Diceros bicornis minor: one gene and its partners. The protein of the gene in region 1 purifies or fractionates together with the protein of each later gene. This does not show direct contact. Links are inferred from orthologs where the notes say so. Each region holds a gene or a part of one and is shown on either strand. Other genes may lie near its edges.

Evidence for each region.
Region 2: the proteins of CTBP1 (region 1) and ZNF516 purify together in Homo sapiens (co-immunoprecipitation; 4 studies listed by BioGRID and IntAct, counting the BioPlex papers as one, with this or other methods). This does not show direct contact. The link is inferred for Diceros bicornis minor from reciprocal best matches to the Homo sapiens genes CTBP1 and ZNF516.
Region 3: the proteins of CTBP1 (region 1) and HDAC2 purify together in Homo sapiens (affinity purification with western blotting; 7 studies listed by BioGRID and IntAct, with this or other methods). This does not show direct contact. The link is inferred for Diceros bicornis minor from reciprocal best matches to the Homo sapiens genes CTBP1 and HDAC2.
Region 4: the proteins of CTBP1 (region 1) and CHD4 purify together in Homo sapiens (affinity purification with mass spectrometry; 3 studies listed by BioGRID and IntAct, with this or other methods). This does not show direct contact. The link is inferred for Diceros bicornis minor from reciprocal best matches to the Homo sapiens genes CTBP1 and CHD4.

Annotation. Positions count from the first base shown.
Region 1 is NC_080747.1:644,127-652,129, forward strand, and holds the start of CTBP1 (C-terminal-binding protein 1), read right to left. Parts: upstream 3,015-8,003; 5' UTR 2,516-3,014; coding exon 2,476-2,515; intron 1-2,475. UniProt on the Homo sapiens protein: Corepressor targeting diverse transcription regulators such as GLIS2 or BCL6. Has dehydrogenase activity. Involved in controlling the equilibrium between tubular and stacked structures in the Golgi complex.
Region 2 is NC_080755.1:64,966,689-64,974,612, forward strand, and holds the start of ZNF516 (zinc finger protein 516), read right to left. Parts: upstream 3,002-7,924; 5' UTR 2,888-3,001; intron 2,673-2,887; exon of another isoform or gene 2,545-2,672; intron 2,194-2,544; exon of another isoform or gene 2,134-2,193; intron 1-2,133. UniProt on the Homo sapiens protein: Transcriptional regulator that binds to the promoter and activates the transcription of genes promoting brown adipose tissue (BAT) differentiation.
Region 3 is NC_080762.1:21,797,689-21,804,960, forward strand, and holds the start of HDAC2 (histone deacetylase 2), read left to right. Parts: upstream 1-4,265; 5' UTR 4,266-4,406; coding exon 4,407-4,458; intron 4,459-5,365; exon of another isoform or gene 5,366-5,486; intron 5,487-7,272. UniProt on the Homo sapiens protein: Histone deacetylase that catalyzes the deacetylation of lysine residues on the N-terminal part of the core histones (H2A, H2B, H3 and H4).
Region 4 is NC_080756.1:55,089,666-55,097,446, reverse strand, and holds the start of CHD4 (chromodomain-helicase-DNA-binding protein 4), read right to left. Parts: upstream 3,007-7,781; 5' UTR 2,907-3,006; intron 2,062-2,906; 5' UTR 1,984-2,061; coding exon 1,884-1,983; intron 1-1,883. UniProt on the Homo sapiens protein: ATP-dependent chromatin-remodeling factor that binds and distorts nucleosomal DNA. Acts as a component of the histone deacetylase NuRD complex which participates in the remodeling of chromatin.

The DNA of each region.
Region 1 (8,003 bases):
CCTGTCCCTGTCCCCCACCCTATGTCCCTGGCCCTGCCAACACTTAGCACATGCTCACTCCTGTGATCCCATACCGCTTCATGATGCCATCCCCACCTCAGACATGCATGGAGAAGCCACACGAGGAGCCCCAGATCACCCGCTGGGATTCCCCTGGGAACGGGCTCAGGTCTGTGCTCTGGCCGGCTGTGGTCACTCCTCTACGGAGATGCCGCCCCACACAAGAGTGCAGGGGCTGCACTGACTCCCACGGGCGGCTCTGCACTAGCTGCAGGCACCCTCAGTGCCCATGCTGCTGGGGCCAGCTTTCTGCTGAGAGCTCCTCTGTACGTCTTATACAGACGAAGCTGCTCTTCATCTTACAGACGAAGAGCATGGTGGGTCCTGAGAAGGAGAGGAAAGGTTCCGCACACAGACGGCCTGGTCCCCACTCTCGGCCCCACAGAAACCTGACTTTGCAGCCGCCTAGAAAAGCAGGAGCAGGCAAGGGGTTCACCTCCGTGACTGCTCAGTTCAGGGTACCCGGAAAAAAAGCCATCCGCCTCCACTTCTCCCCGCCCCAACCAGTCTCAGAGAAGATCAGCATTAAAGGGTCTGGCCCTGGCCAGGTTCTGGCTTCTCCAACACACCGCCGGCTTAAAAGTTGTCCTCCTGGGCATGCCCGGGGCGGCACCCTCGTTTCTCAGCAGGCGGGCAGGGGGCCAGGCTGGGGACCCAGCCAGAGAAAGCTCTAGCCACCAACCTCAGGTGCGGCTACAGCTCCTCCTCCCACAGGCAACTCTGCGCTGGGGGAGGGGCGGGAGGAGGAAGCTGAGGGCCCTCAGCCAGCCAGGCTGCCACAGGACAGACAGACCACATGGCCCCTCCCCGCCGGACCCCGGAACAGCCCCTCCCAGGAGGAGGCCCATGCAGCTGGATGTTGACCGGGAACTGCAAAATGTGCAAGATGGCCACCGAGAGTTGGGCTCTGCCAAGGAGCTTACACCATGGCAGGCATCTTCCAACCGGCGATCTAACCAACACCCACCCAAGGGTGTCCCCAACCCAGCCTGCCCCCGACAGTCCAGGTTCAGGGCCCCAGTGGGGAGACAGGCTGGTCCCCAGTGCTGCTTAGAGTGCCCGTGAGGGTCCTTGTTCTGATATCTTTCAAAACACAAGGGGGACAAACCCGTGCCTTGAGACAAACAGAATTGGGTCCAGATCTCTTGAATTATTGAGGAAACAGACTGGCTCAGAGAAGGGAGCGCAGCACAGGGTTTGCTGAGTTCAACGGTGTGGGTGGCTGTCCCAGGCCCTGCTCCACCTGCCTAGATGGGGCAGACCCCCACCACCACCTGCGTAGTCCGGGCAGACCCCACCCCACCTGGCAGACCTCCCCCACCTCCACCTGCCTAGACAGGGGAGATCCGCCCCCCAACCTCCACCTGCCTAGTCCAGGCAGACCCCTAGCTGCACGGCTGAGCCCAGGACATCCAGCCAGTGAGGGAAGGGTGCCCCCCACAAGCTGAACGTTGTAATTTTATACATTTTTAAAAAATGGGTGAAAACCTCAAATACCAGTACAAAGCCTGTGATAAGAACAAGCGCCAATAAAACAGCCTGAATAAATTCCAGTGGTGGAGCAGCGCCCACCCTGCCCGCTCCTCAGGGAAAACCTCCGTCCCCCGGCCCCACCGCTGCTCCCCCCGCCCCCGCCCGAGCGGCCCAGCATCACCCGGCGCTGGGAGGGGGGACCCGGGAGGGAAGGGCCCGGCGGGCTCCCGTGGGGCAGGGAGGTGACTGGCCCTGCAGTCCTCGCCGGCAGGACGTTACCGTGCCCAGGAGACACGGCATCCTGTCCTTTCTCTCAGAGCCAGGTCGGCAGTGTACCCGGGAGCGTGTAACGGGACACTGAGAACAGGGAGGTGACCTAGTGCGGCGGCCGAGACCCGGGATTCCGGAGTCCTGGCGGGGTGGGATGCCGGGGTCCGAGGGTCAAGGATCAGAGGCTGGGAGGAGCTGTGGGTCCGAGGGACTGGGGTCCGCGGCTCCGGGGGTTCGGGGGTCCACGAGTCAGGGGTCAGGGGCCGGGGGTCTGAGAGTCTGGGGTCCGGGAAGGGCTATGGGTCCGAGAGGTCGGGGTCCCAGCGGGGCGGACACTGGGGGTCTTAGGAGGCGGGATCCCCGGGGCGGGGGTCAGCAGGGTCGGGTGACCGGCGCCCCTTTGTGTCACCTGCGCGGGCGGCGGCGGGGGCGGGGCGGGCGTGACGGCGGCGCCGGCGCACGCTCACTCGCACGCAGCAGCTCGCGCACGCGCACGGCACTCCCGCGGCCCCGCCCCGGCCCCGCCCCCGGCTCGGCCCCGCCCCCGGCCGGGGGCGCGGGCACGCCGGCGCGCACGCGCACTCGCACACAAAGCCGGGGGCCCGCGCGCCCGCCCCGCCCCGGCTCCGCCCCGCCCCGCCCGCGGCCGGAAGTGCGCGCGCGCGGCCTTACCAAGCGGCAGGCCCTTGTTGAGCAAGTGCGAGCTGCCCATTGAAAGGCGCGGGCGGCCGCGGGCCCCGACCAGTCCGGCGCGCTCCGCCGCGAGCCCGGCGCGTGGGGCGGCCTGGGCGCCGTCCGCTGCTCCGCCCGCTCGCCTGCGCCCGTGCGCCGCCGTGCCGAGCCGCGCCGCGCCGCGCCAGCAGCCGCTCCACCGGGCGGGCGGGGACAGGGGCGCGCGCGCGGGCGGGGCTTCCGGCCCAGCAGCCTCCTGGTTCCAGGCGCGGGCGCCGCGCTGCACCACGCGGGCGGGCGGCTGCAGGCCGGGCCCGCCCGCCCCGCCGGGGCCACGGGGCTCTCCCCTGGCCTGTACACGCGCGCGCACAGCAGCACACGCACCTGCCCTGCACACACAGCTGCACACGTACCTGCCCGGTTCACACACATGCACACGCACTTGCCCCGCGCATGCACTTGCCCTGCACAGGCACGTGCATTTGCACACGTAGCTGCCCCGCACACGCACACGCACACCCTGGGCCGAGCCTGCCCCACACACGCACCTGCCCCGCACCTCCTGGGCGCCAGCGGCGCAAGACCGGGCTAGAGGCCTCGTGAGCACGCTCCTGGGTGCCAGTGGTTTACATGTCCTTGGGCCCAAGCCAGGAGGCGCTGCAGGTGCTCAGCCCGCGCCGCCTTCCGGCTCCGGGCGGCCGCAGGGTAGCGGGAGGCCACAGGTCGGAACTCAGAGGGTTTCTCTGGGAAAGCTTGGCCTTACACTTGGGTTCCAGGGGGCGCATCTGGGCCAGGCGGCCTGGACGGGAGTCCCCGGGACGAGCTTCCCCAGTGGGCTGTGAGCAAAGCGCCAGAAGCCAGCACTGAGTAGTTAGAGCAGAGACACCCCTGAGCCCAGGTGAGGTCCCTGGGAGGTGGCAGGTGTGTGGGTCCATGCCCGGCTCCTCTGGCCACCACCCCCAGTCCCTGAGAGAGCAGCCTGTGCTTAGTTCCGGAAGTCCAGAGGGGACCCAGCCCCGAGGATCATGGCGGCTCCCCTAAGGTGGGAGCTAGCCAGGCCCCAAGGGGAAGACAGGCACCATAGCCGTCCTCTCAGGGAGAAGCACGTCATTAGAACAGGACAGCACTAAACTATCAGTACAGCTCCTTGGAACATAGTGGACGATCCTGAAATCAATCCTGTAATCTATATGTTTTTAAAATTCATAAACCGATGAGAAAGTGTAGGTGGATTCAGTAAAGGATGATAGGGAACTGGGTAGCTATTTGCAAAATTGATGCTTTTAAACCCTCACTTGGTACTCACCTATGAAAATACCTCCCAAATCGGATTAATTAGAACATGTAGGGAAAATGAGAAGACAGGATGTAAATGAGCAGTTAGCAAACTTCTCAGAGAACTTTCCTAAATGCAGACACAAAAGCAGTCGCAAAAGAAAGAGCAAAATTCCAGAGCAGGGTGCGTGTCTCACGCACACGTTCCCGCTCGTTCCCCCAGGCAGAGGTTTACTCATTTAACATCGTACAGGACCAGACCCCCTGACGTGGCCTGGACCAGCTCCTCCAGCTCCTCCTGGCCTTCTCGGTACCTCTAGCGCTGAGACCCAGGGTGCCCCTTGATACCTGCCCCCTCCACCTCACAGCCCTCAAACCAGGGTCCCCCACATCACTTCGTCCCTGGGAGTGGCCCCAGACTGTAAATCAGATTCCATTGTCCCCTGCTCAAAACCTTTAAGGTTTCTCCTTGCACTAGAGAGGAAATCCAAGCTTCTTATCACAGAAGGCTCTGGGCCTGGGCCCATCTCCATCTGCCTCTAACCTCCCTTCCATTCTTCAGCCAGGTGCCACCCGCCCCCAGCCTGCCATGCTCCAGCCACATGGCTCTTCTTCCCAGTGGCCACAGGGCCTTTGCACATGTGATTTATGCTGCCTTCCCCTGCTTTTCCCATGGCTACCTTCTCCCCCTTACCCTTATGCCTGGTATAGCAGTTACCTTTCTATCTGGGCTTTCTTCCTGCTATACTGTCAGCTCCCTGGCGTCAGGGGCCTCTACTCCCCCACCCCCATGTATTTGAGATGGGAACTGCTCAATGGAGGTGTGGGAAGAATTGATGTACTGTTCTGAACGTGCCTGTCCCATGCATGCCTCCTCAATCCTCAGGGCTGGCCAGAGGCACCAAGACCACAGGCTCCCGCCTCCAGGAGAAGGCCTGGGGATCAGTCATGCCACCCTGATGCCCTCCACTCTCCCTCAGCCCTCTACACCTTTGTGCATGGCCCTGAAGAGCCTGAATCACCTTCAGAGAACTGGCCTGCAGACAAGGGCCTGAGGCAGGTAGATGAGAAGCTCATTCCTGAACCGGCTGTCTCCACCGCAGCCCGCAGGGTGGACCCCGACACCTAGGACAGTGCCACCCACCCAGCCTGGCCCATGTCAGCTGTCACCTCCTAGTGAAGCCGCCCCCCTGCCAGGAACTCCCCCCGAAGGACAGGACTGGAGGATCCCCACCCCTGTGCTCTTCAGCTAGACCCAGGTTTGGACGCAAAGTGCTTCCTAGTAACTCAGCCCTGCCCTCCGCTGACGCAAACCCCAACTTTGCCAACTGCAGAAGGCGGCCCTGAGCAGAAAAGACCAGAATATGCTCTCCTTTGGGGAAGAGACCAGGCCTTCCCCACCAGCTTGCTAGAGGTGTTGCCCTGCAGCCCAGCATCTTTCCTTAAGGAATGTGAGAACGTTTCTAAGCCAGAAGTTAATAGTTTACTTTGCTCTCGGTGGACAAGGAAAGATGCTTTGTCTTTTAGTTTTTCTGAGTACTCCGAAACATAGTTCAGGTACCTGTGTGATTTACGGAACGGTGGTCAGTGGACACGAGTGATGCTTCCGGCTCCGTCGGGTGCTGCAAGACACTCGCTCTCGGCTCACTCAGCGGTTCTTGAGGGTGCATCATGGGCCACTCCGAGAGCCGCGTCTCTCTCTTGGGCGTCCAGCTTCTGGGTGAATAAAAGTGGTGCTGACGGTTCTCTGGACGTCAAGGCATGCTTGCTGGCTTCCCACTTCCACCCCCACTGAGGCCGGGGTGCTCCTGAGAGTCTGCTGGCCGCTCCATCCAGCATGGGGCTGCACAGAGAGGAGACCCTCGAGGTCTCACACAAGCACTGGGGCTGATGGCCGACAGTGGGGCCCAGCGGGGTTGTGGTGGAGGGGACAGGCATGGAGCCCTTATGGGGGAAGGGGCAGCCTGCAGAGATCTGGGAAAAGAACATTACAGAAAAGGGAGCAGCAAACTCAGAGGCCTGACGTGGGTGCAGCGGACACAGGGCAATGACTGAAGGGCCCGAGGGACAGCGGGCTTGCGGGGTCGGGGGCTTGGGCTCTATTCCCCACTGCCAAAGGAGCAACATGGATGGTGGGGTGCACAAGGTGGGGACCCCATTGGCAATCCAGGAGAGGCCAGCAGTTGTGGGAGAGGCCGGCCGCAGCTGCAGGTGCCTGGAGGACTTGCCACTGAGCTGAAGGGGTGCTGGGACATAGGGAGTCCCGGCCACTCCATCCTCTGCCCCTGGAGTCGGGCTTCGATCCACCTTGGCGGGGAGCCCCCGGGTGGCCGGCGGGGTGCTGGGGAGGAACCCGCAGCTCTGGCGTGGCCTTGCTGAGTGGGAGAGAGCTGTCAGATGGCCCAGTGTCTAACAGACTCTGAACCAGACTCTGGACTCCAACGGGTGGGGCTACCTAGAAGCAGGCAACCCCAGGCCAGAATTAAAATTTCTTTCTAGGATCCATTTCACCCACAATTTCATTTTGCAGCTGGAGCGGAGCTCCAGGGAATTTCACAGGTGCAACTAAGAATGAGCGAAAGATGAAGGTGGGTGATAGATCCGGCATCTCCCTCAGCCCCACTCTCTGCAGCCTCCCCGCGCAGGCCTTGTAGCACGCAGGCTTTGTCAGTGCTTTCTCATGGCTCTTATCTGGCCCTACCCCCATCCTGCTGTCCCCAAGCACTGCCTTCCCACACTGGGTTACAGTCACACCCTCTATCTGCTCCCCACACACCTGACGAGAGCTGCGATTCTGGGATCCATAGGTGACTGCATCGCCCACGAAGGCAGCCCAGCTTTCTGCAGACGTAGCTCTGCACCCACTCTCCAGCCGGCCCGCCCGCCTCTCTTTCCCCGTCCCTCCCAACTTCTGGCCTGGGATGAGCCGATGCCATCAGCTGCGCGTCTGTGTTGGCCAGCTCGCCCTTTCCCTGCGCCTGGGCCTGCCCTGTGCACAGAGGAGGCGCTCGATGCCGGTTGGCCTGCAAAGGACAGGACTGTCCCTGGAGCTGCTGGAGAGTCTCCTGGGAGGGGAAGCCAGGCCCCGGCGCTGGGTCGAGCAGTGCCAGCCTCAGCCTCCGTGGGACATCTGAGCGCTGGGGAAAACCACATCCACAAAGGGCTGCTGACGTTTTGGGTGAATGAATGCTTCTTCACGGGCTCCATGCCCATGGCCTCGAATTCAACTTCAGTATTTGTGAGAGCTTCCCGTGCTGGCCACAGGAGGAGGCTGACCTCCATTCTGACTCACTTCACATGGTGCCAACCAGAAAGAATGCTGCCTCTACTGCCATCCCTGGCCAGAGGGCAGTTCTGACCCTGATGGAGACTGGGAGGCGACCGCAGTGTCACCCAGTGCCCGATACCCAACCCAAGACTTTAGCTTATTGGTCGATATATTCAGTGTTCGTGCCTGAGATAAAGCACAGCATTACATCACAGTCTACAAATATATGGTAAAAACTCCTAGAAATTATGATGATGTACTAAGAGAAGCATTGGGCTGCCAGCCAGTCCGCACAGTGAGAAATGGTGGAATACCAGAATCACCGGCGGGTGCCCTTGAAACCAAATTGGGCACGTACCTGCAGTATTGTCATCCAAAGACTGAAGACTGCCACCCACTTCATAGCTCTCAAGAGACTCGGTTCTCAGCCAGGAGAGGGGAGAACAGCATCTACCTGTGGGGGGTTGCAAACTGTGAAGTGCTGTAAAGCCCCGGGGGATGCGGAGGGCTGCAGTGGTTGGGCCGGTGCTCACAGATCTGCCTCATTACTTCGCCCCCACAGGTCCTTGATCATAAGTTGTGGATAAAAGGTCACCCGTCTGCAGGCTTGCTGGGACTCGATGAAAGAAGGCATGTTGACTGAAGGCTGCGTCTTATTCCTCGGTGCGTCGGGCCCCCCTGCACCCAGCTCGCTGTTGTGGTAAGGTTCCCTAGTTAGCTCAGGGAAGTGCCCCTGGATATTCAGGAGAAAAAATGTCCCTGCCAGTCCGGAGCTCCTCCTGAGACAGGTCACATTTGGTAAGTGTAGCAAACACATGGAGAGGATGAGTCATTCACGGAGTTTTGGGTAATAGAGGGTGTTAAGGGTTGAATTGTGTCCCCCCCAAATTCATACGGTGGCATGCTAACCCCCAGTACCTCAGAATGTGACCTTATTTGGAGAGACAGTCTTTGCAGATGATCAAGTTAAGATGAGGTCGTTGGG
Region 2 (7,924 bases), on another chromosome or scaffold:
TGTATGTTTCGCGCCTGGCGAGTGGGCTCCGTCACCCGGATCCCAGGCGCGCCGCGTGGAAACGAGAAGGAAGGAACCGCGCATTTCGATTCCCCAATTGTTGAGAAGCACAATCACATCACTCCTCTTTTCTTCCCCTTCTGCAGGTTTCCACTTGAATCTGAAAGCGCCTCTTATGAGGACACTCGGAGGAGGCAAGGTCTCTATCGGGAGTGCTGCGTGCCCATCTAGCTGCAGACTCGGATAAAAGCGTGTCCACGTCTACAGCACACAGCTGTGCAAATCAGAAGCCTGCGGATGCGCGGCGCTGGTCGGACTTAGTGTGCAGACACATGGGCGCATGCACGCGCGCGCGCGCACACACAAACACACCCCCCAAATTACCTCCGGGATGGAGAAAGCCGCTGCGGATTGGCCGGCAGAACCGTCACTCACGCCCAGGGGGCAGGGAAACTCTGTGAGGCTGTTTCCTTCTTTTTTTCACCCCCCTCCCTACCGTTTCATTTAATGGTAAAACAACAGCAGAGCTCTGAAAGTTAGCCATCTGCGCGGAGAGAGTTTGCCTTCTTTAACGAGGGGGGCGTCAGACAATATCCACTTAGACATATTTTGTACTTCCACAATGGCTGAAAAGGGAAATTAGCAATCCGGGGTGGGGGCGGAGAGGAGCTCGGAGTAAGGAGGGAGGGGGCCATCCGGGAGGGTTGGACGCAGGGTGAAGAGTTGTTCTCAATACCCAAAAGGGACTTTGACCTTTCATTGATCTCGAAATTAAAAAATGTTTTTCACAGGTCAGATTATTAACAAACGCCTGTCCTAATTTATGAACTCATTATTTTAACTTTATTATTTAAGCATGCGCCAGCAATCGTGTTTCCTTAAGAAAGAACTGACCTAATTTTGGCTGGAGATAAACGATCATGTTAACAGATGTTAATCTTGTAATCTGTTTTTCCTGTAAGCACTTTACATACGCGGGTTTCAGACCTTAAAAATAACATCTTTTCCAAAAAGACCTGACGTCACAATTCACTCCCTGAAAAATCACTCCCCCTCTCCAGTTTTTTTCCTCTGCAATGATTTCAAAGACATTAAATCTTTTTCACTTTATAAATGCTGATTTGTTCTGCCTCAACTCCTACAGGCTTTTATTTGCATTTCAAATTCCACAGGTTACACCAGTCGCCTTTTCAAAAAAAATGTAAACCAACAATGCAGCTGCAAATGGCTTTTTGTGCATCTGGATTAAATAAGGCACAGAATGAATATATTTAAAAAGAGAGCTGAGCACGTTGATCTTTGCACACCCAGAGACCAAGTAATTCTTTATCAATAAGCCCAGCGGAATGAGAAATATACAGATACACAAGCCAGAAGCTCCCGGTCTGATCCCGGTCTGCTGCGGGGAGCTTATTAACGCTGATAATAAATGGGACTAATTTACAGACCCACATTTTTCGGGCAAAAGGCTAGGTCTCTCTGGTCCCTAATAGCAGGGGTCCATTGGCTTCCCAGCCCACCATGGCTGATTGTCACCGCACACCAATCTTCGTCTATAAACCGCTGTTTTAAATACCCAACTCGGCTGGCTTTTAACAAACTTATTCATACAAAGTTTCTTTAAAACTTGACGAGGCGGTTTAATCTAAATACTGATCATAACTACTCAGTATGTTAGTTCTCCCTGGAAATGGCAGACAACGCGCTTTTCCACCCCCACCCCCCAAACACACACACCCCACAGCATTCTTCTTTTCTTGTATATACCCGGGTATATACCGGGATCAATACCTCCCCCACCCCCACCCCAGCGAGGCTGGGCGCATCTCCAAGGAGTCCCTGCCACCCAGATCCCCTCTCCCCACCCCTCTCGGAGTCATTGCGAGAACCCTCGGCCCCCGCCCCCACCCCTGCCCTAACTTCCCTTCAGGCGCTCTCACTTCTTTAATGTTAGGGTCACTTATACGCTCCCAGCTGACAAGCATGCAGCCAGGGGAGGGGGGAGGAAAAACAACCCCCCCACGCAAACACGTCCCCGAGGCAGCAGCGCTCAGAGCCCACAGGCATCGATCCCATCAGCCAAACCCTTAATAATTGAAGCGGCTCCTCAGGGCCCGCAGCCCCATCACCCACCTTCATTAGCCGGAGCGTTTTACTTTAAAGTAAGGCAATTTGCTCTTTGTCTCCTAATGGATGGAGAGCACATCCGAGCTCCCCTCCTCCCGCGTCGCCTTTGACGAAGTGTACAAAGCCAGAGCCTCTTCCGCGCTCCCACCCCGGCCCCCACCCCGCCCCTCCACTGCGGTAAAAACCACCTCCCGGGCGCTAGCCTCGCCGCCCGAAGTTGCATGTTCCCTCTCCTGGAATTGCGGAGCGGAGCAACTACCAACAGGGAAAGCCAAGCCGCCCTCCCCGCGCCCTGGAGCCCCTCCTCAGCGCCCCCCACCCCCGCGGCGCACGCCCGGGTTTCTGACACTTCCAGGCCCGGGTCTCCGCGCCCCCGCCCCCCGCGGGCCCCGCAGCGCCCCCGACCCCGACCCCTACCTTGGCGGGGAGGCGGCGGGCCCAAGGAGGAGGACGCGCACGCCCCGCGCCTCTGAAGGTGAAGCCGAGCGCCCGAGGCGCGGAGCCGAGCGCTGCACTAGACCGACCGCGCCAGCTGCGCCCGGGCGCGGGGGACGCGCGAGGGCGCGCGGGGCCCGCCACGCGCCCGGCCCCCTCCCCGCGCCGCCCGCGCGCGCCCAGGACGCGCCAGCCCCGCGGGCACCCCGGCGCCGGCCCGGCTCGAGGGGCTGCACCGCGCGGAGAGGGGGCTGGGCCCCTGCGGCCGGGCGCAGGCCCCAGGCTTCCCCCAGCCCCGGAATGGTCTGCCCTGTAGGAAACGCACACGCTCCACTATTGTCTCATCAGCACAAAGTTCTGCCACACTGCGGGGAAAGTCTGGAGGCTCGCGATGACTCAGACGCAGATAATTCTTCCCCTCATAGCACTGAATCACGATCCCAGTGGCTAGTTGTCACCCCTTTTCTCAAGGACTAACGCTGCCGCAGATCCAGTTACGGGAAGCTGTTTACGCACACACACACGGATACACACACACGCACGCATCCATACGTGCAGACGTGTTGGAGATGCATTTTCAGCCGACTTAGGCACCTGAGCACTAAGCCTCGAATCCAGATTTCTACGTGGGTATCTTTCCGGGGGTCCCAGTTGGGTGTGCGTTGCAAATGGCTTAGGGTGTGCGTTTCACTAAACTTCCTGGTAAATGCGTTTGGGGGTATTCAGACGCAGAGTATCAATAAATTAAGTCCTGAATCAAGATCAAAGGGGTCCCCCTGGAGAGACTTTAGAACGAAGATTCTGCTGTAGAGCAATTTAAAAATGACTGTTGTTTTTATGTTTATTTTGATCCTTGAAAAGTTCAACTCTAATTTTTCTGTTTTTCAAACTTCATTTCTTCACCCCAGCTCCTCTCCGTGGGCCGTAGTTAGTTGCAATAAGTTGAGTCTGGGAATAGAAATCCCAATTTGACTCCAAGTAGCACCAATGGTACCCGGCAGGGGGTGGAGGTGGGGGGTTGCTGCAGAAAGGGAAGGGGCGGGGGTACGGGTTGGAGGAGAAGCGGGAGAGGAGAAGGAACCGGGAGGGTTAGAGGGAGGGGGAGCGCGCCCCTGAATCGGTGATGACGTAGACCGAGGGAGCCGTGGCCTGCGGAGGGTAACGCAGTCTTCTCCCACCGCACTTCTGGCCACATGGTTCTCCTCTCCTCCGGATAACTCCGCAGTGGAGATGGATTCCGTCCAAGACTCCGACGTAGCCCCGCTCGACAATCAGCGCTGCAGTCCAGGCGTTACCTTCCGCTGTGGCATTTTTCTCCGTGCCTAACGCTCGCTAACGTTCACTGCTGATGCAGCTCCGGGCCTCTCCAACTTATGGCATTTACAACAGAAACTCCTACAGAAGAGCTCAAGGGAGGAGCTTGTGCCTGCAAAGCTGGAGTCCCAGACACACGGGCCATTCTGCGTGTGTATGATGTGCGTGTGTGATGTATGTCTGTGTGCATGTGTGCGGTGTGTGTGTGTGTTTCGATGGAGGAAGGGGGGAGTAGAGAGACAGGGAGAAAGAGGGGTGAGCACCTTTGCAAGAAGAATCTGCGAATCATAAAACACATAACATGTAAGCTCCCTGTGATTAATGATCTGCACTAATTTGGATAGCAGGCATGGTAAAGGTCATTGACAATTGTTGCTGGTTTCAGCATGAATGCCTAAGTGGGATGTATTCTTGAACAATCAAATTTAAGTCTACTTCAGTGAAAAGGATTGATGTGCCCACAATTCATTACAATACACAGTAAAATTGCACAAATAAAAGTATCCCCCAATTCAACTAATTACATGAATATAAATGGCATATGTAGACATAGATTTATTATCACATATATAAGTATGCACCCACAAAGAGATTAAAATTTACATACTTGAAATTTTAATAGTTTTTTGTAGTATTTTGGAATGATTTGAGTGGATGATAAAAATCTACTACCTTCATCTGCATTCTTGGGTCCATTTAAGACTACAGTATCTCACTAATAACTTCCATGTGTTGAAAATTAACTTAGATCAACGAACAGTGAGCAAAACTTCCACACTCCGCATAAAGTTGTGATTTTCATGACTTGCCTCCTTTCTCTGGCCTGCTTATCATGTGATTTTACTCAGGGCTATGGCTGTTCTGAGATGATGTGCTTTAAAAGATTTCCTTTCTTCCATGTTTCTCCTACAATGCATGCAGAATCTGAGAACGTAATTTGAGAGATGGGCAAGGGTTACATTCTGGAAAATGGCAGCTTGAAAGTCAGCATGGTTTTATTACTGGTGAGAGCACCATTCATGACAGGAGAAATGTGTTTACATTATTTGTACCCAAAGTCACTGGTTGTTGTTGGTTTGTCGACTCACTATTATTAGCTTGCCCCAGGAAAAAAAAAAGGTATAAAAACAAAATATTTAATGAGGTCCCATACTATTCCCTTAGCATTGCCAGAATTTCAGTTGTTTGATATCTTCAAACATTGAAAGTAGACATTAAAGATTAAGGACTCTTTCTGCAGAAAATACTAATCCCTAAAATCCCCCAGGAGAGGTTCTCCTATTTTGAAATGTTTAGGTAAATTACAATATTTGGGTAGAAAATAGTCAGCAATATTAACAGATTAATGGTTGAATATATATGTGGCTATTTATAACAGACAATAATTCTGGCTAATGAAGTAGATTCAACGAGAAAATATATTTTCCCTAGTTATTGTCTAATGAATTATTTGTTCAGCATTTGGGACTCTGCTCCTTCAAAAGCTAAGGAAAATGGCATTTTAGTGAAACTGTTCAGTGGCTTGTCTGGACAACTTAGGCGACGCCTGATGGGTAGACATTTAGATAAGAAAGGTTCTGAGGGGTCGCATTATAGAATAGCTAAGACTAAAAAACAAACCAAAAGAACCCCCCAAAAAGGCCTCATCTGTCTGAAAGCTGGAAGTGAAACTCTCTGAACTATGGTATGAAATCCAAGACAAACTAAAAAATATTTATTAAATATGCATGCTTAAAAATGTAAGTGCACTACTTAGTAAATATTTCATATTAATTCTATCTCTTTGTGAATTTATTAGGATTTTCTGAATTATATCTGAGAAAGGAGAATGACATTATGCACCTAAATCTAGGGGCAATCTTTAGCTCTCTGAACAGGCTTAAATTGACATTTCAGAGTGGATTAGGGATGAATATGAATTAAATTGTCAATAAGTATTCCTAGGTAAAGACTCTCTTAGGACAGTATAGCTGCCCACTGCCTTCATATTGTTTGGAGCAGTAACCATTTCATGTGTAAATAGAAACTGGCTATTTATTTCATCACCAATGGTTTCGAAAGTATTACCCCAATCCTAACTTGCTTTTCTTTCCTAAAATCTTTCGTTTTCACAGAACGTGGAAACTCAGAGAATGCACTGTATTCAGATGCTGGAGGAAGGGACCTCGCAGGTCAGCATGAGTGTATCAGTACGGAATTTAACATATGGCTGCCGCTGGCCGACAGGAGACGAAGTTGGGATTATATTTTAAATAGTCTTCTACAAAATGGCTTCAGACCTCTTGAAGCTGAAGTCAACTAACAGAATATTTTTAATCTTTTTGTGGGAAACTCTCTCAGTTCTCTTTCTTAAATTTTAATTCTATTGAAGGTGATGCATACTCCAGGAATGAAATAGATAACATACATTTCTTATACACACACACACACACACACACAGGCACACTTCCTTCTAGTGTGATCTGGGCCCAGATAGTCCCGTGTTTACACTAAGATAGCTTCTTACTGGACAGCTTTCTCTCGTGCAGTCCTTTATCTGCAGGAGAACGTAGGCTCAAACTGGCTGTGCTTTAGGCTTATTTACTCATGGTTGAGACCTACATGTTGTTGGAAAGACTTTTGTGAATATTTCTTCTCTCTCCGTAGTAGCCAAGTCTGAAGACGCCTTCAGCAGATAGCCACACCTGAATTTTTAGATAGTTTAATAATCAGCAAAGCATCTCTTCAAGATTCTGTGCAAAATATACCCATATGTGTGACACAGAGAATGCCTGACTCATCTGTCCCCACAGCAGAAAACGTAACAACTTTCCCAGGGAATCAGCATTTTTAACAATCTGTCCTTGTTTTCTGCTCATAGGAAAACTTCATGATGACCCACAATACTATTCTTATCGCAAAGTAGATTTTCTTTTACTCATTGTTGGCATGCATATGCTTTGGTTAACAACAAAGACAGCATTAATAATGTTGGATCACAGAGTTAGTGCAGATTTGAAACTGAGACAAAAGTATTTTAGAGGATATACTAACAGTTTGAGGATGGCAGTCACATTTCTCACCATTTGCAGTTGTAGGTAACGACATCAGGCCTTCACAGCAGGTAGAGGGCCCTCAAATCTGTTCTTCGTTTCACTTTAAGTAAAAGACTTGGCAACAGCTGGCTGCAGAATAGCCGATACAGAATTCCACAGATGTGGTTCATAATGGTTTGAAGAATAAAAGGAAGTAGGCCATAGAGCAGAATTCATTTAGGGAAAGGCAAATTCAAGGGTCCCTCTTTTGAAAGATTTCCCACGTTGGGGAAGAGGGGGACTGTTTTTCTTATTATCTTTTTTATAATCCTACAGTATGTTAATCACTGAACAGATAGGTTGTGACCTATTAACACCCCACGTTCTTACAACAGCAAAACCATTGACTTTTTCTGCCCCCAAATCTCATTATGTTTCATCATGCATAACTGATTACATGTGCATGTTTATGCAAACTTTCCTAAGAGAACTGAAAATAAAATAAGGGAACCAGCCATATATCTCTTTCACTGTGGGTAGGCTACACACACTTGTAATGAAACTGGGCAGGGAAGAAATACTCAAAGACCTTTACATGAGGTCTCATTTGACACTGACATAATACAGTTTGAAGGAAAGTAGAATTTGGCATTTAGGACGTTTAATGGTGTTAGAAACAGAACAATAAAGAAAGAAGTGATCGGGATGTGGATGAGTAGTTGTCATAAGAGGTCAAGACGTTTTGTTGATGAGGAAGGCTAGGTACATTTTTTTTTGGTGACTTTTTCATTGTGGTAATATGTACATAACATAAAATTTACCATTTTAACCATTTTAAGTGTACAGTTCAATAGTGTCAAGTACATTCACAATATTGTACAACCATCACCACTATCCATCTCCAAAACTCTTATCATCCTGTAAGACTGAAACTCCATAACCATTAAACAACTCCCAATTTCCCCTCCCCCAGCCCCAGGCCACCACCCTTCTACTTTCTGTCTTTATGAATTTGACTGCTCTAGGGACTTCAC
Region 3 (7,272 bases), on another chromosome or scaffold:
AGAGGAACCCTGAATTTAGGGAACCTGAATCTTTTATAATGGGTAGTATGCATGCGTGCCCTTTGCTACAGACAGGGTCATTTTCTCTATCTTCCAAAGCTGTTCCCTGTACAAAGGTCTTTGAATAGATTGTTTGGAACAAAAGGCATTCAGTACCTTGGCTCTCAAGATATTCAGAAACCCATGGAGAGTTGTTTCCTAACAGAAACCTATAGTTTCTTAGTAGAAATTACCAGAAGTCACTAACTTCTAATGCATATTTTGCATGAGTTAGGATGGTACTCAGCTGCATATAACAAAATCCTGACTACAGTGGTTTAACCAATGTGTTTGTTTTGTTTTTTCCCTGCATGTAACCAGAAGTCCAGAGGTAGACAGTCCAGGTCTGGTACAGATATAAATGAGGTCATCAAGGACCCAGGTCCCTATCTTCCTGCTCCACCATCCTTAGCATTTATTTTTCATCTGATGGTCCCAACATGCATACTCCACCTCCATTTGTACAGTTCTGGTGCTCCGTGGAGAGAAGTGGTTATCAGATTTGAAGGAAAGTCAAAAAAAATTGAGCTAGGAAAGAGGAAGAATTAAGATATATACATAGAGTAGTTAGGAGACAATAGCAAGTAAATTTTCCCAGACACAGTGTGGGTGTAGAGTTTTACTAGAAAATTTGTGCAAGTAAATAGATTGGATCAAAGTAATACCATGTTTTGTGGGTCATGAGCAAAGCATTAACCAATTAACAAGCTAACAGGGGTTACTTGAGGGGTTTAATGTAACTGAGTAACTTAGTACATAAGCTATGATTCAAAAATATATTTTTAATGAAAATGGGCAATTTTAAATTTTATTACACAAATGCACAGTTCAAATAGGACTATAATCTTTCATTGTTTGGTGCTACTGTTCTGATTTATGAGTTACAGCTTGTAGTACTGTGTAAAAATAGGCACCATGCTTCCAGGATCAGAATTCAGCTTGAGACTGTTTTAGTTTGTGACAACACCCCAGCGTTAGTCACTGTACTCTTCTACATTCTGTATTATCCTATGGAATTGCTACCTAGAATTTAACACCTTAGAGCAGAAACAAGCTTATGCAAATAATTCTTTTATAGCAACTAAAAATTAAGCTATCTGCCGCAGTTGATAGCAGGATTTAATTTTTAGCATAGACTGAGGCAATCAGTTTCTAAATAGTCCTATCTCTAAATAATCCATTTATGTTTAACAGATCATTTCATTGAATAATCTCGAAGCACTAAACATCTTCAAGATTGGAAAAATAAATTCCTATAGACAGAGAAGGAACTAAAGAAAAATAGTTTAAGAATAAAGACAATCTTCAAGTACTATGAATGAACCACGAATTCTAGAATTTTGTGAATGAACCATGCTCTCAACTTTTCTTCTACTGTATATTGTCTAAAATTCTCTTTTTTCTAATGGTAAAAATGTTTGATAGAGATGAGTTGGAATATAGTAAATGAAGTTTGGAGCTTTGTCAATGGATTTCAATAACTGATTCTACGTTTAGCTCTCATGATCTAAAGCTCATTATATGTGTTTAGGGACATAATTCTCATGGCCTGCTCTTACCACTGGATTAAACTCCTTCTCCAATGCCAGTTTCTAAGGGTAAAATAATTTGCTTCTATTGGCTTAAAATTATTAAATAATAAATAATGTAACAGGTTCTTCAACCATTCAAAATATATGTCTGGGTTCTTCTTATGAATTCAAGGCTAGGTGCTATGGATACAAACAATAATTATTATTACTATTATTATACAGTAATCATAATAATCCTTTCTATTCACATAGATCTTTATTGTTGAATGTTGTATTGTATTGAATTGTATTGTATTGAATATTGAATACTATTGTATTGAATTGTATTGTATTGAATATTGAATACTATTCAGCCATAAAAAAAAGACAAAATTGTGCCATTTGTGACAACATGGATGGGTCCTGAGGGTATTATGCTAAGCAAAACAAGTCAGAGAGAGAAAGACAAATACCATAAGATTTCACTCATACGTAGAAGATAAACAAACACATAGATAAGGAGAACAGATTAGCAGTTACCAGAGGGCAAGGGGGTGGGGGGAGGGCCAAAGGAGTAAAAGGGCACATGAGTATGATGATGGATAAGAAACTAGACTATTGGTGGGGAACACAATGCAGCCTATACAGAAACTGAAATACAATAATGTACACCTGAAATTTACACAATGTTATAAGCCAATATGACCTCAATAAAAAAATTTTTAAATACTATTCCATATTAATTTTCTTATTTGAGCTACTCAATATTCATATGAGGAATTACTCTCCGAGTAATACAGCCCCATTTTAGAGATGAGGCAATTCAGACAAAAAAAGTTTAAGAGACTTGCCCCAAGTCATAAGCACTGGAGATACAATTATGTGCAAGACAGACATGGTCCCTCCTCTCCTGAAACTCTATTCTAATGAGAACATTCAGAGAAGTTGTGGGCAACTGTAACATGGTAAGTATTGAGCTAGAGGGGTAGAAGTCACAACCACCATGTGAGGAGCACAGAAAACAGTCTTGGGGGGAGGGGGTAGAGTCAGGGAAGTTTCCTGAAGTCTCATTTCAGACTTCACTATGTGGGCTCTGAGAAGAACATTAGTTTCTACTAAATTAACTTATTCTGTTCTCAGAAACTAACAAGTTGATTTTAGACTTGATAGAGCAAAACTTTGAAAGTCAGTATCATGTAATTAACTTTACCTCTAACCTAAGTGTAATGTTTCTTACACTGTGATTCCCGTACCAACTGTATCAGGTACCTGGGGTGCTTGTTAAAAATATAGACTTGAGGGAGGAAAAGCTGGGCTACCCTGGAATTACTTTTTCTAAATTTGGGGGGTGGGGGAGGAGGTCCAGGAAAATTCCCGCTTTAAGTAGGAACACCTTGGGAATTTTGACGTCAAACAGCAAAAATAAAGAGGGTATTTTTGGTAGCGTCTCTAAATGGTTCCTGTTTCAATAAGGACTTTTTTTTTTTTTTTTTTGATGGGGGTGTGGGAAAATGTGTTATATTTGGGGGAAATTGTAACTGATAGAGGTGGGCTAAAAGTGCTACACTGCAGACTGTCCGCCCCCGACCCCTCACCCGCAAGATGGCTGGTTTACAGTGGGTGCTTGATAAATGTTTGTTGACTTGTTGAACACAGGGACACAGCTATTTATAACTTCCATGAGTTTTGCAAGTCCTTTTTCTTCCCTTTCTGCTCCAATGTCCAGCCAGCATCAGCAGCACAGTGGAGTAGCTAGCGTGTGTGAATTGTCGGGAAAGAATGAATTATTCAAATCCCAGACCATCACCAGTTGAGAGAACTAAATTCCTTAATCTCCCCCATTTATAAAGAAGGAATAGAAATAATACTTACACCCCAGTGTTGTTGGAAGTCTATACTGAGTTACAGGTTATCTACTATAAATAGGTATCAATGAAACATGTTGTAAATGCAAATACTTAGAACCGTGCCTTACACACAAATTGCATTCTTTAAACGCTCATTCAAACCCAGACAGTACACTCTACTTTTTAATCTGTTAACAGGTCCTTCTACCAGGTCAGAACCTCGGAGCAATTATCAGTAAAAAAAAATCAAAGAACAAATGAATAAACGTGAAAACCAAGGAGACCCGGCACAGGGTCACTGGACTACGGACTAGCCGGCTCGTGGCAACCACAAGGGGCTCTAGAGGGGTCTTTCTCCGCCCGGCTCGCGGCACGTGGTCCGCTCGGGCGGGAGCTTCGCGACAGTGGGGGAGGGGAGCGGCGTGCGACGACGCAGAGGGGGTCTCCGCAGCCAAGGCTACGGTTGGGGAGGCGCGGACTGCGCACGCTCGGGATAGGCGCAACCACTGTGTGAAGATCCGGAGGGGGGAGCGTTCACCAGGCTCCATGCTCTCTTTATGTAAATACGGAGCGAAAGCCTGTCCTTTTTTCTCGTTTTACGACCCTACTTGGCACTGCCCTCTGCAAGCTGTTCATCATTGAAGGCCTCTTATGCCAAGACTGAGGAGGCCTATTTCTCTAGTCGTGTCCCTCCCTCCCCCGTGGGGGCCACAGTGGACGCGTCCCACCTCCCCTCGGCCTCCGGAGGTGGTTGGGCTGCCCCCTCCCCCTCCCCAGTGTCGCGAGTTGGCGCCGCTGCCAACCCTCGCTCCGCGCTCTTGGCCCCTCGGCCGGGCGGTACCGAGCCCTCCCGGCGCCCCCTCCTCGCCTCCCACCGGCTCGCCCTTCCCCGCAGGACTGCCACCCGCCCCTCCGCCCCAGCCCTGTTCTCTCCCCGCCGAGCCGCGGCGGCCGCAGCAGCAGCAGGAGGAGGAGCCGGAGCCCGGGGGCGGCGGTGGCCGGGGAGCCCATGGCGTACAGTCAGGGAGGCGGCAAGAAGAAAGTCTGCTACTACTACGATGGTGAGGGGCCGCGCCGGGCCAGGGGGCGGCAGGGCTGGGGCGCCGGGCCTGGGGCCGCCGTCGCGAGTGGGCGCCGGTGCTGAGGGGTGGGGAGGAGGAGGGACCGACGCCTGGCCGCATCTTCACCCGTTCCCGACCCGACGCCGGCAGCGGGAGACCCGCGGAGGTGCGGGCGGCAGCCAGGGGACGCCCCACTCCTCCGTCCTGCCCTTCTTCCTCCGGCGGGTCGGTCTGCCGCTCCGAAGTGGCCGCCTCTGGGACGTGGCCGGCCATCCCCGGCTTCGTGGGTGCGGCGAAGGGGACGGCCCTCGCCGGCTCCTCTCCTGCCCGCCACTCGTGGGAGCGGAGGTTTGGGGGTGCCCTGCTGCGGCCTCTTGCACCCGACCCCTCCCCCGGGTCAAAATACCTACCCCGGCCGAGCCTGCACACAAAGCCCTGCGGCCTCGAGAGCTCCGCCCCTGCAGCCCCTTCCCTCCCCATCCCTGTGTGCTCCCCTCCCCTCGGTCTGCGGCTGGACCGAGCATCTTCTTTCTCCGCCTCCAGCCTCGCCCCGGACCACTGGACCCGGGTCGGTGCTGGAGAGCAGTTCCCGAGGGTGCAGGCCCCCCTCCGGCCTGGGGCACACTCACACCCCTGTTGTGCGTGGGCTCCATCCCTCTCCTTTGTTCGCCGGGTTCTTTGAGCGCCACTTTTCTCAGGATTCAAATGAAAAGGCTGCGCTTCCTCAATTAAAATCAGGGTTTTCGAGTTTGAGGTAGTCAGCCTTCGCGGGAAACATGACGGTGGTAGGGAAACGTGGAGCTGTTAATGCTGGTGTTGTGGATCCGAGACTCGATGGGTTCCGGCTTGCCTCTGTGAGAGGTGGTTACCACCCACTTCTTTGTTGCTCTTTGTTCGATCAGGAAATACACCCTGCTCTGGAGGTTTAGGAGAGCAGGGGCATCTTGCTTGTGAAAGCTGTTTCTAGGTGGTGGGAGTCCTGGTGTAGGAAAACTTTGAGGAGTAGTGCAGAAGTACTAAATAATCAGGTAAGCTTGAGCTCACGGTACAGTAAATTGTAAAAGTCAGGTAATTTAATTTTAGGGGTTCTTCTAATTTGAAGTTTGGGCAGTAACATTAAATCTCTGAAACCTGTTTCCTGCGCTAGTCTGAATTATACTAAGCGGAGTAGTAACCTGTTTTACACATTTCATAAATAAATAGGCAATAGTAAATAGTTGGTAAATAGTTCCTAGTAGGTTACTCTCCAAAAAAAGAATTCTAAAATTTAACGAAGAAGCTAGGCTCAAATGACCTGAAAGTCCTATCTGATTTGTCTGAAGCAATATAAATTTTGGAAGCTGTTTGCTACATTCGGTGTACTATAAATCACAAAATCTTAGAAAGGTAAAAAGACCTTAGAGGATTGGGTGAGAATAAATCTGACTTCAATTTGAAAATGGCCATCCCGTATCTCTTCAGTTAGCGAGGATGAATCTTCTAATGCCTGTTTATATAAAATAACCACCTGTGTCATTTGTGGAAAAATCTAAAATCTTAGAGAACGAGTAAGTTGTCTGATATTTGATAGCTAGTACTAAATAGTAACAGCCATATTTTAAAAATATGTTTCGAGAGGACCATGTATGTGTGTAATACATATTGATTTGAAATTGTGCCATTGTGGAGGGGTGGAGATGGGAGTATGTTTTAATTTTAACATGAATTATTAAAGTTTCTTAAAGTTCATTCTTGGAGAATTCATGCATGTTTTAGGTCACTGGTAAAACTCTTGCTTTGCATTCCCTGATCAAATTGAAAAGTAAACCATGTGTGTAAGTTACTTTTTAAAACTATGTTGTTTCTAAGGTTTAGAGATTTGTTCTTGTCAGGGCTTGAGGTAAAGAAGGCTGGTTTTAAAAAGTTGGGGGGAGCACAGGACAGATAGAACTGTTTGGTGGTTACCAGGGGCTAGGGGGTTGGGTGGGCACAAGGGGTGGAGGGATGCACTTGTATGGTGACTGACAAGCAATAATGTACAACAAAAATTTCACAATAAAAAATTAAAAAAAAATAGTTTGGGGGTACTGAGGCTCTTCTTGCTGCTGTTGGTTGCTGTTGACAGTGATAGGCTCTAGTGGAGTAAACTGCTTGTACCTTCTTGTCACAGGCTTGAACTGTGGAACCAGGGGGTACACTTAAGTGGCAGTTTTATAAACAGCTGTTTGTTCGTTGGCTCATTTATGATGAGCCTTTGTTGAGGGAATGGGAGCCAACTCTGGTCCCAATGGCGGGATGCAGGCTTGATAGGTAGAGTGGGAGTATCTAAGTCTCGTGATTGTGACTTAATCAATACTTTATAGTCGACCATTCAGCTGCTTCACCTGGTGGCCAGCAACAGGTGTGGAACTGAATGTAGGGAAGTCTCTGGTTGGATTGTCTTTTGTCCAAGGCTCTTCCTTGACTCATTTTTAGAATAGAATTTGTCGTTGCTTACATTTGAAATATTCTTTGGATTTTTGTGGGGAGTCTAATAAAATATTCTGCAGAGATTATTAAATTTGATAGGTATCGTTATGCTAATTATTAGTATATGATAGTGTGCTAAGCTCTGCACAATTAATTCCAAAAGCTTTTTTTTTAATTGTGAGGAAAGAGGATGCAAGTAAAGCAGCTTCTGCACCAAAGAGTTCTATGACTCGAAGGTATACAACATGGTCTGGATTGGGAGTGGGTAGTATCGGTAGAAATAGGGCCTGAATAATCTGCCAGCCTAAATTAACTGGTTTTAACTTGTTGGTAAAGCAAGTAGATGGAAGAAAGATAAGGAGGAAA
Region 4 (7,781 bases), on another chromosome or scaffold:
TTGACAAAGCACCGTCAGCTTCCCCCCCACTCAGCCTAGGATCAGGCAGGGCACAAGAAAGCCCCTCCCATTCCCTTGGGAATGAACACCAGCCTGGATCTCACCAGCAAGAATCATTTTCTTAAGGGCTTCTCCCCAGCAATCCCCATGTCGCTCCCCCCAGTCAGCTACATCTCTTGGTTCTTCCTCTTCATCACCTCCATAAAAGCTGGAAGTGGAGACAAAGACAAATACATGGAGGCAAAGGGGACACCCTTCCATCCATATAACACCCCCAAACTTTTCAGGCAGATAATGTGCTCACCTGGCAAGTGGCAAACTGACTGAGGTATAGAGAAAGATTTGGGAAAGGGACAGGAATGGGGTGTGGCAGGTGGAAAAACTGGGTCACGCTACAGCTTGGGGCAGAGTTCACCCTGGGAGCCTGCACAGCTCCCAGTCAACACAGGGGCAGCCCCAGACCAAGGCGCCAATGGGAAGCCAAGATGTGGACCCAACATTGCCTGGACAGCAGTACTACTTCTCATGCTCCCCAGAGAAAAGATAGGATCACACCACCACTACCACCCCACCCCCACCTCAGGCCACAGCACAGAAATTGGCCACCTTGCCCCACAAAAAGATGAGAATCAAGCCTAAATTTCTTATCGAAAGAGTTGAAGACTGAGTAACAAGACTGACCCCTTTCCTAAGTAGCCTTAGATTGAAGTAAAGTCTTCTGACTCAGAAAACGCCAAATGTGGAAACATCTCTCCTAGATCAACTCAACTTGCCATTGGAGCTAAGGAGAGAGGAGCCAGAAGTGAAAGATGTTGGATGGGAAACAAAAGCAGGACCAGCAGGCTCCAGAATGAAAAAAAATATATAAGCAGAGAGGATGAAGAAATGGCATGTAGAAAAAATGAAGCTAGGAAAAAGTGTCAAGAAAACAAGTAGGTGACTTAGCCAGGGGCTCTGAGGAAGGACAGACAGACCAGAGCGAGACATCCACTTAGAAGCATGACATCAATCATCATTTGAGAACAGACAAGGGCTATTCCTATCAGGCAGGGTGTTATAACCATCTGGGTTTGGCCAGTCTAAGGAGCCACCCCAAAACACAGACAGCAAAACCCCCAACACACCTACACAACCACATCACACCACCAGGCCAAACCACAGGCTACCTGCACAGAGGCAGAAGCCTCTAGGAAAGAAAGCCAGGATTACATCCACTTGTTAGGGGAGGAGAGGTGCCAAGGGTGTCACCTGCCTGCCTTTGCCCCTCCTAGTCTATCCTTCAGGCTACTACATCCTACCCCTAGCCCCCAACATTTTCCCACTCAAAACATTCCAGCAATCTGCCTGGCTAAAAGCGCTCTAGATGCCAGCTGAGGAGCGCAATTCAAACTACACACAGTTGAAAAGGCACAGAAAACCAGTAACCGATCAGAAGCTAAAAATAATCAGATAGAGAGTAACCAGCACTCCCTCTTTCCTTTCCACAGCAGCAACCACAGGATGCTACTAGCACCGATGCCTGGCTGGCCTCCTCAAACCCCACCACCAACAACCATCACACAGCCTCCAGGGGTCCCAGATACCTGCATTTCTCCAAGGACCCACACAAGGTAATGCGTGCCAGCCCAGAGAGCTCCCTCAACTGGGAACTGCATAGGATTCCTTAAGACACACAGTGCAGCAAGCTTGCATCCCGATCTGCGGAGCTCAGGAGGCACATGGCTTCCACCCCCCACCCCCTCAAGAGCTCCGCAAAGGCAACCACTCCCTTCGGATGCCCTCCACCTTAGAATGCACAGAGAGAGAGAAACCCTACCTCACCAGAGTACTAGGGAGGGCCCAAATACCTCCTTCCTGTCCTGGGCCCCTGGGGAAGATGTTACCTGGGTGGGGTGGGGGCAGGCTGTTGTTCAAAAGTGCATCCATATCCTCCTCCTCACTGCCCGCCGAGCAGGGGGACGGGGAGCCCAGGCCCGACGCCATCCCCTTCCGCTCCCGGCCAGGGAATTGGCCCAGCTGCTCCTGCCTGCGGCCTGGGGCCCTCTACACTGGCCCGAGTCACTGCGCGGGGGAGGGGGGAAGAAAGAGAGAACAGTCAGTGACGCGCACTGTCCCCCTCCCCCATACCCCCCGCTCTTTCCGCCCACCACCACCCCGCCCCCCCCCCTCCGAGTAGGGCACCCGGGCCACTCAGGCTGAACTTAGTTCCACACTCCTCGGGGGCAGCCCGGAAGCCGGCTCCCCAGCTGGAGCCCCCAGATGAGCAAGAGCGACACCCCCGAGGGCAGGCTGGTGCAGGCAGGGGGCAGGAGAGAAGCCAGGCTGGACTGAGCAGGGTGTGACGGGGGGAGGGGGTCCGAGTGGCCGCAGCGCAGGGGTAGCCGGGGGAGGCGGCAGGCGGCGAGGCGCTCGGGGACACAAGGTCACTTGGGGGTGGGGGGGCGCCTCCGTTCGCCTGGGGAGGGGCCAGTCCCCAGACAGCGCAGCTCTCCAAAGGCTGTCCTCTGGGACAACTCAGGTTCTCCTGAGAAGCCGCGGGGACGAGGGGGCGTGGAGGCTCGGGCGCTCCGGGGGGCTGGAGGCAGGGACGCGGGGGGCGAGAGAGCTCCCACCAGGCAGGGGGCCGGGCCACGTGTCCCGGGGGGCAAGTGAGCAAAGGGCGAGGGGGCGGGCGCCGGGCACTGTGGGAGCCCGAGCCGAGGTGGGAGTCGCGGGGAGCCAGACTCCGGGTTAGGGCGGGGGCGGGGGGAGGGGGCGCCCTGCAGGGAAGGGAAGGATCGGCTCCTGCGGGCAGGGGGCGGTCCGTGGGTCGAGGGACGCCTGAGGAAGGGGTAGGTGGAGGGATGACCCTCGGGACTGGTCGGGCTGAGAGGGGCGTCTCTTTGGGAACCCCGCGCTCTCCTCACCCCGGAGCCGCCGCAGGTCGCGCTGGGTCCGGCCCGGTGTCACTCCCGCTCCGGCTCCTTCTCGCCGCGGCCGAAGGGGGGAAAATGGCTCCGGCTCCGGCGTCGCTTCTTAAAGGGCCCGAAACACCGGCCGGGAAATCCCACCGCACAGGCCCCGCCCCCCCACGGACAGCCCATAATAACCTCAACCAACTTCAACCCCCCCCTCCACTACCGCCACCCTCCTCCCTAGGTCTCCCGGGCAACCCCCGCCCCCTCGTCGCTCAGGCAACCATTGGCCACGCCCCCTTCGAGCGCGCGCGCGCGCGTCACCCGGGCAACCACCCACCTCCTGGCCATCCCATAATACACACGGACACCCCCTACACACTCCATACACAAGTATGCCAAGGCTGTTGACATCTCATAATATTGCAGACCTTTTGCAACTAACTCTTCCCCCCCCAGACATCCCATAATAGCCATCCTTTGCCAACTTCTTCACTCTTGGCCCCAATGCTAACATCCCATAATAATCCGTCACCTCTCCCTCCCCATGGCCATCCCATAATAAGCACCCCTCCCAGCACTTCGGCCTCACATCCCATAATACTCATCCCCATCCCCCATAGACATCCCATAATAACCACTCTTCATCCACCCCCAGTTTGATATCCCATAATAGTCAGAAACTCACCCCCCCACACACACACACACAACGACGGACACTTCGGCCTCCTCCCACACACATCCCGTAATAATCAGTCTCCCACTTTCTATACTGACATCCCATAGTAACCAACCCCCTGGAGCTGCCCTCAGCCCCTGCAGGCTAGGGTCTAGATGCTCACACCACCACCCTCAGCCTTCACACACTCATTCTAGCTCCACAGCCCATGATAACCACTCCTCCCCTATCAAAGAGATATCCCATAATGATCGGCAGCCCTACTGTGACCCTAGATGGACATCTAATCAACTTTCCTCTAACGCTGGAAAGATATCCAGTAATTTTACTCCCCCACCCACACCCTGACATCCCATAATAATTGCAGGGAGCCCATGATCAACCAGACATACCATAATACTCTCAGCACAACCCAGTGTTACATCCCATAATGCTTCATCTCCACTCCACCACCCTTATACCTTTCCAGCCAGGCATCCCATAATATTCATATTCATATCTCCCCCATCTCCAGATGCTGTCAGTCTATTCTAACTGACAGTGTGAAGCAGGCTACCCACACTGCCCTGTCCTTGCCCCAACTTGTACACACCTTCATCCCTTAGTGGGCCAAAGCAGTATCTTGGCATAAAGCCTCTTGATGTCTAGGATGGACCCTTGCTTCCCTCATCCCATCATTTCCAGAGACTTAGGAACTGAGAGTCAACCTTGGGCCCCACCCAATCCTGCCAAAGTCCAGATATTCTCCAGATGCTTACCTCCAGCTCTTAAATTTTAAGTAAGACCAACCAAATACCATGCTGGCCAGATGAGCCACTTACATCAAGTTTACTTCATCCCAGAACATCCCATAATAATTACAAACTCCCATCTAAAGACTATTTCTCAACATTCCAGCAGTCCTCTTTCCACCCACCCCCTCCTCCCCAGGTCAGGTGGTCCTTTCATCAGTACCCCTAGGCCACTCCCATGGATGGACATCCCATCATGATAGGAACTGAGGATCTTGCTATATACACACTAAGAGCCAAGACCTGCCCTCCCTCTTCTTTGCTACTCATGGTCATTCAACAGATGTTGACAGAGTACCTAGCAAGGCACAGAGCTGGGCACCATAGGGAATGCAAGCACCATAGGTACCTCCCTTCAAGAAGCATAAACAACCAAACCAACCATGAGATAGAATGTCTGGTGTCAAGGAAGAATAACTGAGTGCTATTTCCCAATTTTCTGTTATAGAGAATAAAACAAATCCCAACTGGTCTCAGGAGAGATCAGATCCCAGTAGAGGTTCTTGGTGGTTCTTCCAGAGGCTGGAAGGTATTCCAAAAGGATTTACAAGATAGATGGATGGTCAAGATAATCCCCTATCTGTTCCCTACATACTAAGGGATTTTGATCGGAAAGCAATGTTCATCCAGCGTTTCTAATACTTAAATCCTATAGTATCATCATGTGCTTCCTTCTTGAGACTCACCAACATGCCAGAATTGTTATCCTCATTCTTAAACACCAAATTCTGCTTACCCTCAATGTTCTATATTTTTCTCCCACTTTGTTATTCCTGAAGTCTCATGATAATTCCAACTGCCCCCATCCTCATCTTGCTGAGGCACCACTCTACAACGCCCAAAAAACCCTTCATTGTATAATGTTCACCATCTTCCCCTCCCCATGTACAAGTCAACATTCCAGGATGTCTTCTTCATTCAATTATGCCACAAGGTAGCCTCTCAACATATACCATCCCCTTCCCTAACTGCGCCTACCCTGCAGCCGCCCTGGGGACCCAGCCTCAGAAAGTCAGAGAGCCCAATCTTCAAACCTTTTGGCCCTCAGAGAACCTGAGTCCATAAGCCTGACATTTTTCCCTCTTCCTGACCCCCAAAGAAACAGGACCTGAGTGAAAACCAATGTTCCAACACCGCCGCCTTTCTGCATCCTCCCCCACACACAGCCCCCAAGCCAGAGATAATGTCTTCCTCTGCTCTCATGTGCCTTTTCCACACAAGTCCAAGACCTATGGCGTTGGGACAGGTTGAGGAGAAACCAGAACTTCCTCCTAGGAGGGGCCCTTCCCGACCAGAAGTGAGTAGGACGAACCTCACACCATCTCTACATTGCCCTCCTAATCTCACTTCCCTAGAGAAAGAGCCTGGCCAGATGATTCTCCCCTCCTCTGGGAACCAAAGGACTGGAGAACTGGCAAGGAGAAATGAGTTCAGGAAAGACAAGAGTTTGCTTCAGGAAATCACCATCCCTTTGCTTCCAAGCAGAGCACCAGTGATGCTGATAAGTCTTTCCACCAGCTCCTACCTGACTTAATTCCCTAGACCACCCTTTTGCCACATCCATTGTGGCATGCAGGCCACTTCCCCCAGTAAATTCTCTTGACATAAAATCGGTCCCCATTCACTTGTGCAAACCCTCCCCCATGCTTATTCTGAGTACTAAGAATGAACTTTGTGCTCCTCACTTGGGGCAGAGGGGGCAGCTCTTTTAAGATACCACGATGTGGGTATATCTCATTTCAAGAAGCTTCTCTTTGGTATATAGAGCTGCCAGATACCTATTACACCCTTCTCTCTCCCCATTTCTTTAGGGGATCCAGCCTGCCTCTGGGCCTCATATTCCCTTCTATAATATCTCCATCTGCCCCATAGCCTTCTCTTCTCATATATATACACCACATTACTACACTGATTCATGATATAAACCAGGAAGAGAGTTTTAAAACTGGGTAGTCACAGCCTATTGCCTGTGATTACAAACACTGGTAACTTCTGTCCACCCCAGCCCTCTGCCCTATCCCTGCAAGTTCTACCCACTCACTCCCTTGCTCCTCTTATCCCCCTCCTCTCCCTGATACCATCACAGGGAGAAGGTTAAAGTCCTTTCCTCTCTTCTTGAGTTCCAGAGAGGGCTAGCATCTGTGTGTTTGTGTGTTGCTTTTGTGGTCTTTATGCTTCTAGGCTCCCCCTCCCTACCCTGGCCCCATACTACTCTCCCAGATCAATTATAAATAAACCACTAGCATGATTGGTCCACAGAGACTAAGGGTGGGATAATCTCCTGATTAATGCACCCAGGGGGACAACCTCTCTAGCCAGTTACCTTAGAGTTCTGTTTCCATCCCATGGTACAGAAGAACCTAGAATAACACTCAGAGTGGTTTGTCCAGGGAGTTTTCAGCACGTGCTCTATAGTTCCTCTGTCTCCATCTCCAGTCTGTGTGAGCCCCAGAAACTCTGCTCATAGGATGTCTAAGGACCAGCATTCTCTTGCTCTGTCAGAAAAGGGGGTTTGGGAAGACAACCTAGAGCAGAAAAGCCACCGTGACAGTGCACTCTGATGGCTAAACAGGATGCAGGTCATACAGGGCTTGTGGAGTGACCAGACAGGCCTTTGTCCTTCAGGAGCCAACCAAATCTCAGTTCCTTCGGTGTGACTATAAGGTGGCAAAACTCCCCAGGCCCAAGCCCGCCACCAGAGCCATGGTACCAAGGCTCAAATCCAAGAAGGTGAAGAGGGAAGAGAGTATTTGGGTGCTGTGATCACCCAGAAGCCCTGCTCCCTTTGGTGTGCACACAGCCAAAACCCAGGTGTTCTCACTGCCAGCCCAACACTGCAGGCCCTGGACTCAGCAACCCTGTGCTCACAAGCTGTGGAAGGACCCAGGGTTCAGATTTGGCTAGCTCTGGCCTGCCCTAGGGCCCCTTCAAACAGCTGTCGCTGAAGAACGTCTCCAGCCAGTTACTCTTGCCAGGCCTCAGGTCTGGCTCTAGGGCTCACCCCACCCTCCCCGGCTCCTTCCCTCCCTCTTCCTTCCTTTCCTTCCCATTCCCTCCCCCACCAGAGCTTCACCTACCCGGGACAGCCCCACCCAGCTGTGCAGGGCACATCCCATAATAATTCTCCTCCTTGTTAGCCCCCACCCCCCCCCAAAAAAGAGAGGCGGCCATCCCATAATAGCCACCCACAAGAGACATTCCGCGGTGACCGCCCCCTCCCTGCAGAGCTGCCGGGAGCAGCCATCCCATAATAGCTGGCCGCCTGTTTTACTGGTTAAGGCTGTGGAGGGAGCTGGAGAGGAAATGGAGGGGAGGGGGGAGGGGATGAGGACCAAGGGCCCCCACTTTTTAGAAGGGAGGGAGAAGGGGAAGGAGAGTGGCCCAAGGGGATAGGCAACCAAGGGGACTCCACGCAGG